Drosophila melanogaster: one gene and its partner. The gene in region 1 interacts genetically with each later gene. Each region holds a gene or a part of one and is shown on either strand. Other genes may lie near its edges.

Region 1 (8,025 bases):
GTCGATAGGCTGGGCTGGTTCTTCCTGGATGACTGCGTCCTCGCATTCTTCATCGTCGTGGTCCTCCAGTTCGTGATCATACACCTGACAAATATCTGGGCGTTCCTCCTCCATCGGTGTATCGTCTAAGAATGTGGCGTTTTCGTTTTCCTCCGGAGCCTCGTCGTCGACCAGATCCTGGTGCACTAAAGGCTGTTCTAGCGCTGCATCACTAAGGTACACATTGTTTCCAGCCGCCAATCGTGCCTCGGCCACACCCATATCCTCCACGACCTCCTCGATGTAGGCAGTCCCATTGAGACACTCATTCGCATCACTCTCCTCGGACAGCAAGCCCAGCAATGCACCGGTACCGTTTCCGGCCATCATGATGGCCCTGGCGAACTCCTGCTCGCATGCCACTCCCTGGGTAGCTACTATGATCTCACAGCAGTGTTCTTCTCCTAAAACGACCATGTTCTCTCCATCCACAGCCTCATAGATCACACACTGCTCCCCTTCTTCGGCCACCTGAAGTTCATGTTCAGCCTCATCATTCTCGTGGGACAGCATTTCGAACTGGTCAACATTGCCATTTGTCAGCAGCATGCCGGGGCTTAGTGCAATGCCCGGATCCTGGACAGATTCGGGTGAGTCTAAAAAACAAGAAAAGTATGCGATTGAGTGAGTTTACCATATTAGATATTTCATATTTTCAATTGGGATAAATGTTCATAATCAATTAAATGGAAGAGATTTCCTTGTATAGTTAATGGAACAGATTAACAAACCGTTGATCTCGATGACCTCGTGGCTGCTGTACGAACGTTTTGCCGGTGTGCAGGTGGCCCATACTGGGGCTTGGTGTGTCTCTTCGGTCATCATCATTTGCCGGCGAAGTCCGAATATTAAGGGTTCATTCTGAGGGACGAAACTGGAAGACGGCTGCTCCTCCGGCCAGCCCTTGAAGCCGCTGCCACTCGAGATAAAGCTGTGGGTGTCCGAGTCGTCGGAGATCACGTGCAGGTTGCTGTCCACGGCGGGGTCCAGATCTGCTCCCGTCCTCGAGGATCTGGTGACAGATGCAACAAGATCCGTGGGATACTCCCGATCCTCAGCCACGTCCGATGCGTCGCCTGGAGCTTCGCTGGCCGTATCTATCTCGTCGCCTTCCAGCGGCGAGTACCGGTTCAGTAGGTGTTCCTCCGCCGCTACGTAGGCCATCAGGCTGGCTTCTCTTCTGGACATCGCGTTGGTACGGGGAATGGGATTGGGATTATCTAGCCCTCGTCGACTCGTTTAGTAATTGTGGTAGGATTTCTTGTAAATTTAGCACGTGAAATTTAAAAAATATACTTGATGCTGTCTACAAAACAATGCCCGAACTGACTGTGGACGATCATGATTACATTATCATGGCTTGGTCGGTTTCCTTCGATTGTTATTTTTCGTATATCTGCGTGCTGTGCGTTGTATATTTCTTATTTGATAGGCTTAATATTTTAAGTTGCTTTATCCTGTGTGACCGTGGGAAACACCGTAGTATTATCTCACATCGCCATGGCCAATATGCCTCTTAAAATACCATCGGTATTATTTTTACAGTGGGATCAATCAATAAAATATACCTTTAAAATGAAAAAAAAAATTTTAATTGTGAATGTTATTAGTAGTGTTCGTTGTTTAATTCTATGACACTTTTTTTTTAATAATTGTTGTGACAATATTTACATTTATTTATAAACAAAACACTTTGTTATATCCTAAAATATTATACATTTCATTGGGGTGATCGACTCATAAGGATTTAATAGAGTTAATACCCTTTTAACGTATAATAATACAGATTTGTACTTGCTTAATATAAAAGTTCTAGCTTAGTAACATAAAATTTGCCAATTTAAAGTTATTCCCAATATATCTCGATCAGCTGTTGATGTTTACAAAATCCGCGTTAGCTGGTATTCATCGCACCAGGCATATGGTATATTTGGACAAACACCGATGCGGCCACTCTGCTCTCACGGTACTCGAAATTGTGAGAAAAGAAATGAAAGAATCTAAAAAAAAACCCAAGCTAAACACACCGCACTTACGCCCCAAAGAAGTTCCCATGCGCCCGCGCGCTGATAACGCAAGTCTGAGAATCTGAGACCAATTCCGCTCCGAGTCTGAACGTGAATCCGAGTCCGAAACCGATAACGAAAACTGAACTGAGTAGCTCGGTCGTGAAATGGGAATTGATATATAGCGGGCGTCGTCGTAGCTCAGAACAAATAACTTACAGCTCTCGAAGCGTGAACGTCGCTGTCGTCGAGTTTCCGCCTTCAAAACGAGCACTGAAAACAGAAACATACTCTCCGGAATCTAATGTTCGCCCGTTAGCCGGATTCTAAATTAAAATTAAATTAAATTGTGAAAATTCAATAAGTCAACGATGGAGGCAAATGGCGATACCAGCGCCTGCAATGGGTATTCGGACAAGCAGCGGAAGGATGTGCGCGTCTGGTGCGATGGATGGTGAGTCATCTACATTACATTTAGGGGCCTCCAGGAATTCGGTCCACAATGTCTAACGGTTCTTAGGGCAGCCCATTGCGTCACGTCGTTACTCACCGCTAACGGTAAAGTGAGTCAAAGCATAACCATTCCGCGTCGGTGCCATCGATTCCATGCCACACCACGGCCAACCGAACCCTACTATTTCAATTCCAATTTGGTTTCCAATACCAATAACCGTAATCAGTCGACGATAAACTAAACCCCATTTTTAGGCGTGCTAAGAAGCGTCCAGGGTTCCTCAATTGATTAGCAAATCTTTGTGAAACGGTGCCGTCTCGCTGCCCGTTCCAAATATCCACCCATTGCCGTCGTCCGGCTGAAATGTCTACATAATTCAGGTTCAAGGTCTCTCGGATCCGAAATGTCCATATTCTCCACGCTTGACCGGGACATTTGGCATTATATTTATATTTATACGCTATGCAATCTATTTATAATTGTACGCTTACAGTGGCTATTCTAAAACAGATTACTCAGAGAAAATGTTTAATTTGCCTTTTCCGGCGATACTCGCACTCTTTATGGCGCTTAAGCTAACAACAATACATATATCCCAAATTAGTTTGCACAATAATTAATTGCTATATGTGATAAACCGGGTGTTCGGTTCATCTAATGCATCTATGTATTTTAGATCCGCATATAGATACTATTGACGCACTTTGCCTTGTTTTGGGCACCATCAAATGGTTCTATAGGCATTGCGTTCCCCCATATATATATATATATATAATTATTTGATTCCGTGCAATGCATCATCAGAAACCGGTTTATCTTTATCGGTAATGACGCGTTAGACTGCGATATGGACGGATGGATAGATGGCCTACCATAACAAGTTTGCTTCATTGGGGGACGATAGAAATTTCCTCAATTGTGGCTACCGCCAGTCGGTAAAAATAAAAATATACCCATTGTTTATATGCGCCCTCGCTCTTTCTCTTATTTCCTTGTATTTCTACTCACCGTATAAACAATGGCACACGCCCAACAAGCAAATGTACATACATATATGTGCCATATACATGTGCTCTGGCTAACCCACTGTATCTGAACAGCCTGCCTTTCCTTCCGCTCTTCTGTTTTTGAGGCTTCAGATTTTCGGATGAGGGCTGCGTTTACGTGGCCCTTGTTGACTGTGGCTGCCCGCCGGTCGTCCGTCCGCAAACATCACGTGATTCTGGCATGCGCATGCCCTCCGCCTCGGCGATGGACCCCACACCCCTTTTGCACCACCATCATTGCCATTGCCTCGCCATTGACCCACAATGCTGTCGTCATCGTCTGGCGGTCTTTTGTGTGCCCAATTTAATTGGCATTTCGCTGGGCCTCTCCTGTACTGACTAAATAATCGCAAGGGATCGTCTTTATTTTAAAAGGGTTTTTTAAACCATATCCATTTATTATTAAGAGGTGGTTCAATCTTATAGTATACTTCTGCCTAAGCAAAAACATACATATGGCAAAACTTTTAGAATCCAATTGCGAATGCCCTGAAGCAAGATTAGAAAATGTCACCTAATTTATGGATTTAAACCTAAAACATATACATCATGCTCATTGGCATTTCCGGGTAATTTTGGCAGTCTATGCTCCCTTATGTCCATTGTCAACGGGTCACAGCTCCCTGTCACCAGTGTGGAAGTCCTCTAGCTGCGACAGATAAGAACGACCTACGTAGTCGTGCTCCAATCGCTGAAATTCCACATCAGCTGCTCATGGGCACGAACAACAAGTATAAACATAATATTTGCGTGGAATCTGATGGAATCTGATAACCCATCAGATGGGGAAAGCACGTATGTATGTGGGGCACTTGGACCCAAAAATCATTCTAATCAGCAGAGATTGATCATTGACGCAGGCACAAGTGCTTGGCTTGTCTCCTCCTTTCCACCCAAGTCAATGAACCTCTGCCAGTGGAAATAACAAATGAATGGGAAGCTCTCGTAATAAGAGAGTCCGGGGCCTTAAGGCGGGGCATATATGTACATGTGTGCTGTAGTATAAGATCTATGTATATGGCATACTTTACCCCACCAAGTCAATCCACTTTACTAGGCTCTGGGGTCCGGACGACAGAGCACAAATTCTACGGAGAATCGCGTGATATTTTTTAATCAGCAAACGGGCGTCGGCGTTGCTGTCGCTGGTGTTGTCGCTGCTTTTAGCTCACTCAATTGATTAAGCGGCCCCTGGGTCTGTTCTACATATAGAGTACAACAATGCTAATATGGGTATAGTATGTTCGGCACAGATTTCTTGGTGCGCTGCAAAAAAATCTCCGGGAGCAAAGGTTTCGCTTCGATTAATGAATGGCCCACGTTTTTACTAGCTGCTTTTTATGGTGGTGGTCATCTCTCCGCATTTGTTACTATCTGGGCAAGTCAAGGGACTAGCTGGCATAATCCATCTTTTATTTTTAGGCGTGCATGCAGGGGCATTGCATTTCATTTAAATTTCATTTCAGTTAAAGATCCAGTTTGTTTTGAGTACAACTATTTTCTTGGGAATTCTCTAATCTTCAATGGAAGCAGTACTTAAAATACTTTCCGTCTATCTATTTCAAATGAACTCCTCACAATCGATTACCGAAGAAACCGTCGATGGTGACGGTATTATTTCTTATCACCCGCCATTTAGTTAAGTGGTTACCTTTTGCATGTTATGTTAAAAAATGTTTGCACAAAGCCCGCTGGGTGAATCATTTTCCAAAAGAGCAGGTTTCAATATGAATTATTTTATAAATACTTACAATTACAATGTACCTATGGTGGAAAAAATAAATACCTTCATAATTGGTGTTAAGTGCAATTTGTGCAACGCCTCACGTCCCCCGGATGCTATTATCGCTTTCCCAAGCCAAACAAAAACCAGGCCAGGGCACGTGTGCCTATAACCATAATGCCTAGAATCGGCGGAGAATGTAAACAAGCTGAATGGCGATGTTTGCGTATATGTGGCCACTGAAAAGCTGACGCAGCAGCGTTCATAATTGCAATTAGAATTGCAAAACAACGAGCAGCAAATGCGGTTTTATTGATATCCCCTGTCCCGGTTGCTTCATCCATCTCTCTCTCGGCATTTTTGGCATACCCACTCTGATGATCGAGTCCAAAGATCAATCTCTTGACCAATGCTGGGCAAAAGTGGAGCACACAAACCGCCTCTATAGTCACCGGTGGTCAGTCCGTCAGCTACTGGTCATTAAAAGCACTCGACCAGACATCTTTGACGCGCTTCGACAGCGGTTTATGTAAACTATGTAAATGGCTTGCTCGAACCACTTTATTACTTTATCGTCTGGGGGTCATTAGCAGTACTGCTTCGACCTAGCTTCCACCATTAACTAAATGACCAGGATTCCAGCTGAGCGTCAAGACAAGTGGTTTTTTTTTGTTGGGCCTAAGGTTCATTATACGTATGTATGTATGCACATTCCATGCGATAATTGTTTTTTTTTTTTTTTTTTTTTTTTGGCAAGTCTCGAAGTTAAACACGGCTTATCTTGCGAGCTTGAAAAATTGCTAATTTTATGAAATATATGCCATTTTCTGAGTCATATTGGTAGAGGCAAGATCGTTTCCATTAGCTATTTGTCAAGGTCTCGCGGCAATCGTTGCAGTCTTAGTTATCTTAGAATTTATTAAACTTCCACGAATGGCAGACAACATTTCCGGAGGTAACTAATAAGGTCATGTTTGCTTGTTCACTGGCACGCGCTTGATAAAAAAAAAAAAAAACAATGTATCTATTCTTGTACTGACATATCTATCCTCCTTCCATCCTCAACAGCTATGATATGGTACACTTCGGACATGCCAATTCTCTGCGACAAGCCAAGGCTCTTGGCGATAAGGTAATTGTGGGCATTCACACCGACGAGGAGATCACCAAGCACAAGGGACCACCGGTCTTCACCGAGGAGGAGCGCGTCAAGATGGTCAAGGGCATCAAATGGGTGGATGAGGTGGTGCTCGGTGCTCCGTATGTGACCACACTGGATGTGCTCGACCAGAACAACTGTGATTTCTGTGTGCATGGAGGTGGGTAACAAATTTATGCATATATCTGGATGTTACTCAATCGAGTGTATTTGTTTGCAGATGACATTACAATGACAGCCGAAGGAGTGGACACATATCATTTGGTCAAATCAGCCAATCGCTACAAGTGAGTTTGAAAAGATATATTTTTAAGACATGTGGCAGTTTATTAAAAAGGGAATGCACACACACTTACCTTATGTACATCTTGCCTTAACCTTTAATAAGCTGCCAGTTGTCTTGTAAAGCACGTACTGCACATTTTTCCAATTACTGACCTTAAATTTTCTTATGCAATCCGCAGGGAAGTGAAACGCACAGCTGGAGTCTCGACCACTGACCTTGTGGGCCGCATGTTGCTCCTGACACGCAACCACTTCCGTCAAGGATCCGCGGAATATGATATCGAGAAAGAAGGTAGCTTTAGCTTGTTCCAACGCTTTTCTGGCACATTTTATTTTCATTTTAATGTTCCTAAATCACAGCGAGCACTGTGAATTTGTGCGCCAAATTCATTGTTTCTAACCATTACTAACTTTAATTTTAAGACTACTTTTTGTTTGCACTCTTTTTGTCTTTCATTTCCTGCTGTCGAACTTGTTTATTGCTCTTGCATGCTGTGCATAAATCAAAGTCGATCAATCAGTTACAAGTATGAACAATATTATACAGATATATTCAGTTTATACATGGGCTACGCACGATTAGTTTATGCATTTTCCCCAATAGATTCTTTTTAATTTGCCATAGTTGAACGCAAATAACGCCTTGGTTTATGGTTGCCCTCTACAACTTTACTATTTCTCTTCTTTTTATTTCTATGTACGCACTGTTAACCACTATCAAAAATATAATATAATGTATGAAACCTATGAAAACTATGCTAAATGTTTTGTGCGTGTGCGCGCCCGCGAAATGAATCCAAATGCCGAATGCCCAATGACCAACCTGCAATCAAAATATCCAAATCCGAATCCAAATCGAAATCAAATCCTAAACGTAAATTTTTGCTCTTAAATACACACTTTTGCTCATTTGTCTGCGTTGCTTTACAATACAAAACAAACAAAAAAAGTGTCAATTTTAAAACGACAAATAAAATCCCATCCAGGTTCTTCGAACATGGGTCAAGATTCGGCAGCCAAAAGTCCGTGGACCGGTTGTAGTCAGTTCTTGCCGACTACCCAAAAGATCATACAGTTCAGTGATGGAAAGTCACCGAATCCCGGCGATAAGATTGTAAGTTTAGCCCTCATTATATGTATATAATGTATAATTCATAATTGTCGGTATTTGCAGGTTTATGTGGCTGGCGCCTTCGATCTCTTCCATGTGGGTCACCTGGACTTTCTGGAAAAGGCTAAGAAACTGGGTGACTATCTGATTGTTGGCCTGCACACAGATCCCGTGGTGAACTCCTACAAGGGCAGCAACTATC
Region 2 (4,807 bases), about 10 Mb from region 1:
TCAGTTGTGCCTATTGCACATCTGGATTGTGAGTATAAGCACTTGATAAGGTGCAAGTGCCGAATAAACCACATATGCAAAGCAAATAAAACCAATGGCCATTATAGGTGGCACGTGTAGCCTTGCCATAACCTCGACCACCAAAACGATTGATACCACACGGAATCAGAAACATAACATAGGAAAAAACCAAACATTCGCTGATTGCGAGTCTAATCGGGTGATGCAGGCGGAAAGAACACTATTTTTTGGGGGTGGGAAACTTCGCATTACCTCATCAAAGTTGCCCCAAACCAAACCAAAGCAATCATGCCAATTGCCCCAATTCAAATCGATTAGTCTCGATGACACAGCAACCCCAATAATGCAATTGCCCCACGGCCAAATCGGATCGAGCGCGTGCCGCCTCGCTTATCGCCATTTGGGAGCAAGTTCAAGTGACCACCGACCAAGAGCTGCTGCTCCCTGTCCACTTCCCACTGATAACTGATAGTGATAAGTGCGTAAGCGAGTGCGTGTTTACATTCCGCTCTTCGCTTCAATCATCAATCATCCGCGATCGATCTCGATCGATTTGAGCCCGAGGACTGGCCGTTTAATTAACTTCTTCGCTAGCGATTACCGATTGCCGTGCGAGGGTTCCCAAGATAAACGATATGGGAAATCACGAACCCCGAGTATGGCCAACCGCCTGATTGAGGCGTGAAGGTGACCAGCACTATCGAATATCGTGATTTATTTGCGCGTCGTAAAGGATTGTTAATGATTCACCCGATATAAATACATAACTCATAGGAAAGCAAGTCGATAAGTATTTCTGTTCAAAGAAGTATGATTTAAGATCGTATCTGCTTTGATTTTAGGTTACTAATAGTAACTTACTATGTATTTGTATTCCTATAGTATATTTATTCAAAACATTTAAAAATATATCCTCATTGCATGTAAAAACTCAGCTACTCTCTAGGGGGAAATCACGATTATAAACTATTTTTGTGACAAAGTATTAATTAAATTATATTTCATAATTATTGTGCTGACATGTCATTAAGATGGACTTGTCAGCCCAAAAGTAGGCACGACCTTTTAATAATGCATTTCCAAAACCAAATAAATTGCCTGGATGGATCGGATCTATTGAAAAAGATTTAATTTCACAGTCATACTATTTTGGCTTATCGTTAGATAAGTAATTTGTTTTGATTTTTTGTGAAATATACGATACAGTGCCGCCATTTACATGGCAAATCTCAGCTTTCATAGGCGAAGGAAAAATAGTACGGAAAGTGAAACTTGGCACAGAAAAGCTTTGCTCTACAGCAAATGGCAACATTGTGTGCCATTGAGACACTTCCGCCCCAGTACGCATGCACCAAAAAACATACTGCGAACAGGTTCTGAAGGAGCTTTCAACTTTACATGTGATTCCCAGTCAGATGTTTACCTCCTTTGGGAAAATCTAGAGAGAGATATAGTAGGGATTTTTGAAAATATGTATGTAAAGGTACTAGACATGAGATACTGTAGTAGTTATTCAACTCTTACTTATGAAGGATGCATTTTATGGTAGTGCCTATTTTATGATTATCCTCCTTTGCATATCATACAGACGTAGGGGCTCAGCCATGTCCAGCTGGCCTAAAGTCTTCCCCTCCGAGATTTCCGCTGCCCAAAAGCTCCCCCCACGGTGGACACCGCCCCGCTCACCCGCTGGCCGAGCGGCCAAAATCGATGCCCCAACCGGTTCGCTCTCGCGTTTTGGCGAGTGGCCCAAGCTTTTCAGCGCTGCTCCTGGAGCGTGTGGGCCAAAACGCGAATGAACATCGACCGTGGAAGTTGACTGCTGAAGTACAAAGCGCTAGGCTGAAGGTGAATGGGAAAGAAAAATTCTAGAGGCTCATAAAAAGTGGCAATGCCCATGGAAAATCATTCAAAAATGTGATGAAAAAATTATGAAAATTAAACAGAATTGGTTGAAAGCAAAGCAAAAGTGTTGAAAGTGTTTTCCAATTTGTTATATAAATGAAAAGGCCATCGAAAGCCCCGAAATGTATAGTGCGCGTGTGTATGTGTGTGTGGTGTGGGTGCGTGTATGCGACTGTGTGTGTGCGAGTGTTTAGCACGCGCTGACAAAAAAGGAGAACATTTTTTGTGTATCAGAATTTTTCGCAGCAAATGTCGAGAAAAAATGGCAGCTAAGCAAGAAAATTTTAATTGAAAATTCCAATGTGCAATGCGAAGATGAAAGAAGCGCTGAAAAATGGGCTATCATTGAAAGTGAAAACGCATGTGAGCCACTTGCGGGGATATTGATTTTTCCCACCCGACTATTGTGGTGCTGTAGGCCAGTCGAAAGCCAGGATTAAAAAGCATATCAATGTGAATTCGGAAAATCCGAATCCGCAGTCCTTCAACGCCCTATAATTAAATAATAAAAAATTAAAATTGAAATGAGATTTTTAACTATCAACTTGAAGTGTCTGAGTGCGAGAGAAAAAAGGAAAGCTCAATTCAAGCCAAAAGAGGCCCTGAAAAGGACGAAAGAAATGGCCCTAAGAAAATCTCTATCCTGAATTTGCTTTCTTCGAGGAAAAAGCGAATTTGCCAACCTCCCACTCTCTCTCTCTCTCTCTATTTTTGTCTCTCTCTGCCCACTCACCAACACGCACACACATGCTCTTTTGGGCAAGGAGACACAACACACAGACACACACACAAAGCCGAGTTCGCTCTATCAATATTTACGCACACCATTGTATTTTGCTATTACGTATACGCTGCGTATCTCTTCAACTCTCTCACTCACTCTCTCTCTATATCTCTCTCTCTCTCTCTCTTCCTCACTTTCCGCTGACATCCTTTGTACTGCAAAATATATGCAAATAAATCTAAATAAATTGAATTAATTTCAATTAATTTTATTACAAATTATCCAAAAAAGTATACGAAATTCATGTGAGACTAGCGAGCCGCGGCCTCACTAGCCAAAGCCAGTCACAAAAAACCAAAAACATAAATCAGGCAGCAGCAGCAGCACACATACATCGACAAGCGCCAGGACCCGCATCACCATATCCTTCCTGCCAAATAGTCGCCACTGCTGCCGACCCTCCCCGCTCCCCTCGCAGGAGTCACGCTTCGTTAAACGCTGCTCAAAACCCATCATCCTAACTAATAAAGCGGACGATAAACAAGCGAATTAAGTACCAAAAACGACCGAGCTATTAACGCTAGTCTGGATCCCAATTGCTGATTGGAAAGGAGAAACATTGGCAGCATTTCTGATTAGGGGGTGAGTGTTGGTATTTACAAGAACGTAGCACACTTTTTGGGGCAGTCCATAGAGTGAATGGAGAAACATACATAACTAAAGGGTTGCTGCAGCTAAAGAAAAACTAATCTCTAAGCTATCAGAGAAAATGTGATTGCTTATTATTCTAAGATACAAACATTTCCCATGGTTAACATTCATCTTGAATTATATTAATATCTAAATAATCAAGTTAATTAATAGATTCACAAAAATTTGCAGGAATTTCCTTTACCAATTAAACCCAAAAGGTCTGAAATACTTTGGGTTTATTAACTTGATTAATTGCCAGACTGCCAAATTCTCTGCCCAGTGCCACACATCACTTGTTCATCGTGTCCTTTCTTATCTTCGTCTAATAAGAACTAAACCTGATTTAGTCCTGCTCTTCGCTAATTAGCTTTGGACAGCCCGAAGTTGGGCTGGAATTCCTCGGAGGGCAGGCTATTAAGGGCATTGCCGAAGCATAGCAATAAAAATGCTGCAAACAAGCTCGGCAGGCCGCACATAATTGCCAATAATCAAGTTGGCCCGAACGGCAGCGTAATTTTGACCCTTCGCGTCGCCCGAAAATCCTTTTGTGTGAAATTCGAGAATATGAATGAATTGTTTGCACGGAGTCTATATTTGATTTTGAAAACATCGAGACGGATTGTTCAATGAAAGCGAAAAGCATAATGATGTGGAAAATTGGTTTTCTCCGCCAGGCATTCTTCTGGCCTGAGGCAATGTCGGGCTCCAACGTCTAGCTTGGATTTTCCTTCATGTTCATTTCTTTTTTTTTTTATTTCCTTTGCTATTTTCCGAGTTTTTATTTTGTTGCCTTCTCTGGGTTATGTGCGCAGTAAAGAGAGCAGAAACAGAAACAGAAAGAGAGAGAGAGAGAGAGAGCTGTGGGCATGTGTGGCTTTTCCGCTTTTCCATCCTTCCGCTCTCATAGTTTTCCACTCTCCGGCTCGCCAAAAAGTTTAACCGTTTCCCCATTCGTGAGCTTCGAGAGCCTCCTGGCCATTTTCTACGCGATTCGCCCGTATTACGTGCGTGGGTTCCACAGATGTTGCCATAGATCCGAATCCGAACCCGAATCATATTGCGAGCTCCATTTGCTCGCTGGCGGGTTTGTTTGGACCCGGTAATGGGTAATGACTGCCTGTCCAATCCATCCCATGTTAATTTGTTTTGACAGCTTGATGGTAAGACCGGTAGAAAACTCTATTTTTACTCGGGTTCTTCGTTGCTTACTCGCAGTATCCTTTTACCATTTATCTTATCGCCATGCGAACCCCGCGCTAATCTAAAATGCCCAGCCAATTGCCGTTATCTGTGCTCCACTTTTTGTCACTGCATTGCACCACCCACCGGGCCACCAACCCAGCAGCCCACGCACCCTTATCAGCTTTTTCTGCACCACCGCCCACAATTTATGAAAAAGCAGCAGACAGCTGCCTATTTATAGGTCCTTCGCCAAAGGTCAAATCGTAGCAATTATTACTAGGA

What was found. Genes that interact genetically often act in the same process or in processes that back each other up.
Region 2: of Pect (region 1) and Syt1, changing one suppresses a phenotype caused by changing the other (phenotypic suppression), as found in Drosophila melanogaster (one study listed by BioGRID).

What each region holds. Positions count from the first base shown.
Region 1 is NT_033779.5:13,201,774-13,209,798, forward strand, and holds the start of Pect (phosphoethanolamine cytidylyltransferase), read left to right. Parts: upstream 1-1,988; 5' UTR 1,989-2,416; coding exon 2,417-2,499; intron 2,500-6,336; coding exon 6,337-6,587; intron 6,588-6,647; coding exon 6,648-6,714; intron 6,715-6,891; coding exon 6,892-7,004; intron 7,005-7,662; coding exon 7,663-7,826; intron 7,827-7,886; coding exon 7,887-8,025. Other genes in the region: CG16972 (uncharacterized protein), read right to left, coding at 1-635, 771-1,227.
Region 2 is NT_033779.5:2,796,971-2,801,777, reverse strand, and holds the start of Syt1 (synaptotagmin 1), read left to right. Parts: upstream 1-1,798; 5' UTR 1,799-1,869; intron 1,870-2,941; 5' UTR 2,942-3,292; intron 3,293-3,456; exon of another isoform or gene 3,457-3,946; intron 3,947-4,807. UniProt on the Drosophila melanogaster protein: May have a regulatory role in the membrane interactions during trafficking of synaptic vesicles at the active zone of the synapse. It binds acidic phospholipids with a specificity that requires the presence of both an acidic head group and a diacyl backbone.